Callithrix jacchus: one gene and its partner. The protein of the gene in region 2 purifies or fractionates together with the protein of the main gene of each other region. This does not show direct contact. Links are inferred from orthologs where the notes say so. Each region holds a gene or a part of one and is shown on either strand. Other genes may lie near its edges.

Region 1 (3,121 bases), on a different chromosome or scaffold from region 2:
TCTAAAACCAAATAACTTTTCCTCAGAAATAAATCCTTCTTTGAATTTTCTTATTTATTTTTATCATTACCACCATACTAGCCATCCAGGTTGTAGATCTTTACACGTAATGAAGGCATAATCAGGGCATATAAGTTAATAAGGGCTATGCTAAGTATATGATCAACACTGAGGAGCACAAAAGATTTTAGAATTAATTCTGTGGGTGAGAGCTTTGGTGAAGGCTTTTTTATTTTTTATTTATTTTTTTGTGATGGAGTTTCACTCTTTTGCCCAGGCTGGAGTGCAATGGTACGATTTTGGCTCACTACAACCTCTGCCTCCTGGGTTCAAGCGATTCTCTACCTCAGCCTCCTGAGTAGCTGGGATTACAGGAATGTGCCAGCCACCATGCCCAGCAAATTTTGTATTTTTAGTAGAGACGTGGTTTCTCCATGTTTGTTAGGCTGGTCTCGAACTACCGACCTCAGGTGATTTGCCTGCCTCAGCCTCCCAAAGTGCTGGGGTTACAGGCACAATTCACCGTGCCCAGCCCTGGGGAAGGCTTATCAAAGTAATATGTTAGCTGGGCATTGACTGAGTCCTGTTTTGCCCAGAGAATTAAAGGAAGGGGCTTCTGAATACCAGACAGAAGTTTGAAAATACATCTGGTCCTTGACTTACCTATAGTGACTATACCAATTCAGTGGAAAGCTGTATCATAGTCTCTCTTGATGGTGGGCAGAGGCAGTGAGCTGCAGCTTCCAGGCAGCCATGAAATCATGAGAGTAAATGACTTATTTTCAACAGTGTACTTTACTACCAGATGATGTTGCCCAACTGTAGCCTAATATAAGTGTTCTGAGCACATTAAGGTAGTCTAGGCTAAGCTGTGATGTTTGGTGGTGAGCTATATTAAATGCATCTTCTTTAAAAAAAAATTTTTTTTTTTTGAGACAGAGTTTCGCTCTTGTTGCCCAGGCTGGAGTGCAATGGCACAATCTCGGCTCACCACAACTTCTGCCTCCCGGGTTCAAGAGAATCTTCTGCCTCGGCTTCCTGAGTAGCTGGAATTACAGGCATGTGCCACCACACCTGGCTAATTTTGTATTTTTAGTTGAGACTGGTTTTCTCCATTTTGGTCAGGCTAGTCTCGAACTCCTGGCTTCAGTCTCCTAAAATGCTGGGACTACAGGAGTGCGCCACCATGCCCAGCTAATTTTTTTGTATTTTTAGTAGAAACAGGGTTTCACCATATTGACCAGGATGGTCTCGATCTCTTGACCTCGTGATCCACCAGCCTTGGCCTCCCAAAGTGCTGGGATTATAGGCGTGAGCTACCATGCCCGGCCGGCATTACTATTTTAAGGCCCATAAAACAGGCCAGGCATGGTGGCTCATGCCTATAATCCCAGCACTTTGGGAGGTCAAGGCAGGAGGATTGTTTGAACCTAGCAGTTTAGACCAGCGTGGAAAACATGACAAAATCCCATCTCTACCAAAAAACCCACAAAAATTAGCTGGGCATTGTGGCATGTGTCTGTAGTCCAACTACTTGGGAGGCTGAGGTGGGAGGATTACTTGAGCTTGGGAGACTGAGGTGCAATGAGCCATGATCATGCCACCGCACTCCAGCCTGGGTGATGGAATGAGAATCTATCTCAAAAACAAAACATACAAACAAAAAAACCTTTATTACGCACCAACAGCAGAAAAAAATAACCAAAAACCTATAAAACATCCATATTTAAACAGCAACCTAATCATTTTCACTGTTTATCTGTAAAATATGTATAACCTGAAAGATAAGTGAAAAACATACAAAGTTTTCAAAACAATGTATGGTATGTGTTAAATGCTAAATAACTGGTATCTATGAATAATAATAAGTCCTATTTATAATTAATTCATGTTTCTAAAATGCATTCTCCAAACTTTTTTTTTTTTTTTTGAGATGGAGTTTCGCTCTGTCACCCAGGCTGGAGTGCAGCAGCATGATCTTAGCTCACTGCAACCTTCGCCTCCTGGGTTCAAGCAATTATCCTGCTTCAGCTTCCCAATAGCTGGGATTACAGGCGCCCGCCACCACACCCAGCTAATTTTTGTATTTTTTAGTAGAGACAGGGTTTTGCCATGTCAGCCAGGCTAGTCTTGACCTCCTGACCTCAGGTGATCTGCCTGCCTTGTCCTCCCAAAGTGCTGGGATTGCAGGTGTAAGCCACTGCCTGACCCCCAAACACTGATTTATGTAGTAACACTGAACAATGATTATGTTCTTTCAAGCTGGTTAAAAAAATTCTGAAGGGAATAAAATAGATTCAAGAGCTGTTACATCTTTTGTTACAATTTTTAACAAAATTGTAACAAAAGGTGATTATATCATTCTTAAGTTTCCTCCCATTATTTAAGGTGATTATATCATTCTTAAGTTTCCTCCCATTATTTACTGTAACCCAGATTTCCTTATTATTTTGTAAGACATATATATAAGCCATTATAACATATATTTAAAATGGACAGATACATAAAACTTATCTTTAAATGCATATTTTATATTTCAGTAGTCAATGACCATCAATCAAACAAAGGAAAAAAAACTAATTTCTTGAAGAAAGACAAATCTATGGAGTGGTTTACAGGAAGTGAAGAATGAGATGGCTCAACTAAACCAGTCTGGAACCTTTACTACAAAATGTCAAACCAACTGCAAGACAAGTGTCAAATGGGATGTTTAAGCAGTTTTGCCATGTTGTACATCTTTATTTGTTATTTTCAAAATTATATGTAAAAGTTATATAAGTCATAGTAATAGTTAAAAATACCAATCTATGAAAGTGGTCATTTTCAATGTAACAAGTTCTATTTTGATATTTTTCCATCTTTCAAGTCAGTTGCTGTCATCTGGAGTACTCAGTTAAGTTGTGGTTTGACCTTCCTCAACTTGACAAGAAAAGCTAATTTAAGAGAAGAAAAACGTAAAGTCATTATATTAATTAGATGAAAAAACACCATTTAATATGGTCTGAAAACATTACTCACCTGTATGACCAGCTTGCCAGTGTACTGGTCTAGCAATATAGGGACATGATCCATATGGAAAATCAGAATGTGATCCTTCTGTTGTAAAAAATATATGTACTAT
Region 2 (3,955 bases):
CCTCCATACCATCTCAGCAAAGATGCAGCCCAGGCTCCAGATGTCCACAGCTGTGGAGTAGTATTTGCAGCCCAGGAGGATTTCAGGAGCTCGGTACCACAGGGTGACCACCTGAGGGACAAGAATAGGGAGGGTGGGGTGGTTTATAGGGTACAGAGAGTCCCAAATCTCAGTTCCTCAGCATTACTCTGCTAACTCTTGGCCTCTTAACAAGCAGTTTCCTTCCCTCCATCTTTGCCCTCCCACTGATTTTCAGTCCATAGTTCTGGAGACCATGTTTTCTGAAACCCCAATTTGAGATCTTTCTGGAAAAACTTGAGACAAATGGTCATCATAATTTTATTTGATTTTTTATTTCTGTAGAGAGTGGTCTTGCTATGTTGCCCATGATGGTCTCGAACTCCTGGGCTCAAGTGATTATCCCACCTCAGCCTCCCAAAGTGTTGGTATTACAGGCGTGAGCCCAGTTAGCAACACAGTATGAATTCCATGCATACCCTAGGACTCTTTAGGATGTCAAGAGATTACTTCTACCTAGTAAGAAACTGTTGGCCAGATATTTTTAGTAACTTTGTGAATGCCCTAGTTAACACCTCTTGGGAAACTCAGAGAAGAAAGGCAAAAAGGGACTCACCTCATGGGTATAAGTACGAACAGGGACTCCAAAAGCTCTGGCTAGTCCAAAGTCTGCTAGCTTGATGGACCCTTCTGTGTTTATAAGCAGATTCTGAGGCTTAAGGTCTCGGTGTAGGACCCGATGAGAATGGCAGAAAGCTAGGCCCTGGAGCAGCTGGAATAGATAGCTCTGACAAAGGAGAAAGAGAGGACTGTGTTTCTTCACCACAATGAGCAGATTGGGTTTGCTCTGCGCCCCCATGGTTCTACTAAGGCCTTTACTGCGTTGGATTATAATTACATATTTACAAGGTATTTCTCCCATTAAACTGTCAGCCCAGAGAGGATAAGGAGCAAGTCTTACTCAACTTTGCATTCCTTTTCTATATGCTGCGCATTGAATAAATGTTTGTTAATAGATTCAAAGTAGCTCTGGGAGTGAAGAATCCAGCCCTAAAATAGATAATAGACTCATTGGCTAGTTCTTCCACCAAACAGAAGGGCTTTTTGGAGGAATTTACCAGGTGCTCTCAAATCCCATTTATCTGAGTTTCATCTGACCTCCCACCTGAGTTGCTAGGTTGACTCACTAGAGTTTCAACTTTGATTCTTCAGTCCAACCCTGGAGTTAATGAGTATAATGAGCAGGGAAGAAGACACAAAAAGAAGGGGAGTGTGTGTGTGTAGTAGATGAGGGCTCAGAAGAAGGCCAAGATCATAAAATATCACCCAGAATTGCCTGCCATCAGTCCCCCAAGACACGTCCATGATAGGGGGGAGCTGATGAGAAGCATTACCTTGATGAGGGGAAGAGGAATGCCAGTGAGAGCAGAGGCATCCATGAATTTCTTGAGATCTTGGTGCAGAAATTCAAAAACCAGGTAGAGTTTATTTTCTGTGTGAATGACATCCAGCAGCCTAGAGAAGGAAAGGTCAAGGAAATGGAGGTGCGAGAGAGAGAAATGGCCACACTGTACAGACAGAACTCATCCTTCTTTCCAACTGGATCTACTCTCAGACACATACTTACTTGACAATATTAGGATGGTTAAGCTCCTTAAGCAGAGAGATCTCTCGGATGGCAGTACTGGGCACACCCTCAGTCTCACTTGGAGAGGTTGGGAAAACAGAGATGGGAATATGGTTACAAACACTCCTTTTTCCCCCTCCCAGTCATTTCTTTCCCCCAAGGAGGCACCACCCAGCACCCCCTAGGAAAGTGAGAGAAGAGAAAGGGTGCTGGAAGGAGCTAATTCCTGGGTAGTCAGGGTGTGGCTTTTGGACATATTAAGGTCATTATCTCCTCTTTTCCCAGGGGTAGGTAAGTAAAGCTGCCTGGTGAAGGTAAAGCAGGGAGACTGTAACGGGTGAGAAAATAAAAAATAAATTTAAAAATGCAGGAGTAGCACCCAACCTCCCCAGAGGGGCCAGTGAGGTTCAACTGCCATTCTTTGGAAAGAGGAGAGAATTCTTAGGTGAGGGTGGGGCAGTGAGGAGGGCTCTTCATTCAGAAAGGCGCTACTCGTCTGTTCCCACATAACTCAACTCCATGGAGAGTCTTGGACTTCATCTCAGAGGCCTCCTTTCTCTCCCCGAGTCTCTGTGGTCGCACAATTTGGGGACGCCATCGGGCTCAGTTTGAGAAGAAAGTTTTCCATAGATTCTACACCACCCTGTACTCTCCACCTTCTACAGGCCCCCAACCCACCCCTCTACTTCTAAAGAAGTCCCTCCCTGCTCTCTTCCGGTCGCTGGACCGCTACCCGCCCGTGGGGGGTTGGGGGGCACAGTTAAGGAGGTCCCCTTAGGAGTCCCGGGTACAGAGGCCACTCACGTGTCCAGGCGGATTTTCTTAAGCGCCACAACTTCTCCCGTCAACTTGTTTCTGGCTTTGTACACAACTCCGTACGTGCCCTCTCCGATCTTTTCCACCTTTTGGAAGTTCTCCATGAAGCGCCAGCGAGTTGGGTCTGCCCGGCCCTGGAGCGGGGGCCTGGGAACCCTGCAGAAGGCGGTCCCTAGCTCTCGGAGGCCGAGGAGGGGGAAACAGGGCCCAGTACCGTGGCCCGGCGTCGGGATGGAACGCTGTATACCTCTCGCTCTTGTCAATTTGGCCAACTTGAAACAATGTTGCCGCCTCCCCCAGAGTTCCCGACCGCCACCAGAGGCCCCGCCCCACCTTCCCGCGTTTCCCTGGCTCCGCCCCCAGACCTTCTTATTGGTCAACGTCAGAGCGGGGGGGGCAGCCCAGAGCTCCTCCCCGCAAATGACCCCGCCCCAGGCAAGTTTGGTTCTTGGGGGCTAGACAAGTTTCTTTCCCGGTGGGGCGGCTGAACACTCTTTCCAAGTACCTGCTTAGGGTCCGAGTTTCTATGTTTCTAGTCTGTAGGGATTTCTTGATTTCTAACTCACTATTTCCACCACTCCCGGGGAAAATATGTATCGACTTAAGGTTAAATTCCACCTGGCCCAGGAGCCTCCTTTGAAAAGCAGGAAGTCAGGGATCTCGTTGTAAAGGATTCCTTGGCCTCGGAAGAGTCGTTGCCTCCGCCTCATAGCCTACCCCAACGCTGTCTCTGTTTTGGGGTGCAGGGTTCTTTTTGTTTCCTTTTTATTGAGACGGAGTTTCCCTCTTGTTGCCCAGGCTGTAGTGCAATGGCGCGATCTCGGCTCACCGCAACCTCCGCCTCCCGAGTTCTAGCAATTCTCCTGCCTCAGCCTCCCGAGTGGCTAGGGTTACAGGCATGTGCCACCATGCCCGGCTAATTTTGTATTTTTAGTAGAGATGGGGTTTCTCCATGTTGGCCAGGCTGGTCTTGAACTCCTGACCTCATGATCCACCCGCGTCAGCCTCCCAAAGTGCTGGGATTACTTACAGGTGCGAACCACCGCGCCCGCCCTTGTTTCTGTCTATTTGAGAAATTCCTGGTTTAATTCACTCTCCCATGATGAACTGTTGTGTCTGGTATGTGTTATGCAGCTGCCTTTCAGTCAGCTCTTGCCCGAGAGTGTATCAAGATGAGAATGACCCTGTGAAACCAGAAACTGTCATTGAGTAGCAGGATGGGAAAGCAATGTCTAGGGCCCAGGTTCCCTTTGTCAGTTTGTTTTTTCTTTTTCCTCTCCTCCGGCCCCTCCCAGGCATTCTCTGAAGGAGAAGAGGAAGGGCTATGCAAATGAGCACCCTTTTCTTATATAGGGGCCTATCCCAGCCCCTCAGTGTCTTTGGTTGCTGGAGGGAAGAACACAATGCGTCTGGTGATGAAAAGGTGCTTTCTCCATTTGGCTGTGATAGGTGCTTTACTGGCTGTGGGGGCTACAAAAGGTATGTGCGGATATG

Evidence for each region. Proteins that work in one complex are often made in the same cells at the same time.
Region 1: the proteins of CDK2 (region 2) and SPDYA purify together in Homo sapiens (affinity purification with western blotting; 7 studies listed by BioGRID). This does not show direct contact. The link is inferred for Callithrix jacchus from reciprocal best matches to the Homo sapiens genes CDK2 and SPDYA.

What each region holds. Positions count from the first base shown.
Region 1 is NC_133515.1:86,204,626-86,207,746, reverse strand, and holds the end of SPDYA (speedy protein A), read left to right. Parts: intron 1-939; coding exon 940-1,046; 3' UTR 1,047-1,058; intron 1,059-2,513; downstream 2,514-3,121. Other genes in the region: TRMT61B (tRNA (adenine(58)-N(1))-methyltransferase, mitochondrial), read right to left, coding at 2,890-2,933, 3,019-3,096. UniProt on the Homo sapiens protein: Regulates the G1/S phase transition of the cell cycle by binding and activating CDK1 and CDK2.
Region 2 is NC_133510.1:63,708,567-63,712,521, forward strand, and holds the start of CDK2 (cyclin-dependent kinase 2), read right to left. Parts: upstream 2,801-3,955; 5' UTR 2,566-2,800; coding exon 2,450-2,565; intron 1,724-2,449; coding exon 1,646-1,723; intron 1,534-1,645; coding exon 1,413-1,533; intron 806-1,412; coding exon 635-805; intron 112-634; coding exon 10-111; intron 1-9. Other genes in the region: melanocyte protein PMEL, read left to right, coding at 3,865-3,940. UniProt on the Homo sapiens protein: Serine/threonine-protein kinase involved in the control of the cell cycle; essential for meiosis, but dispensable for mitosis. Phosphorylates CABLES1, CTNNB1, CDK2AP2, ERCC6, NBN, USP37, p53/TP53, NPM1, CDK7, RB1, BRCA2, MYC, NPAT, EZH2.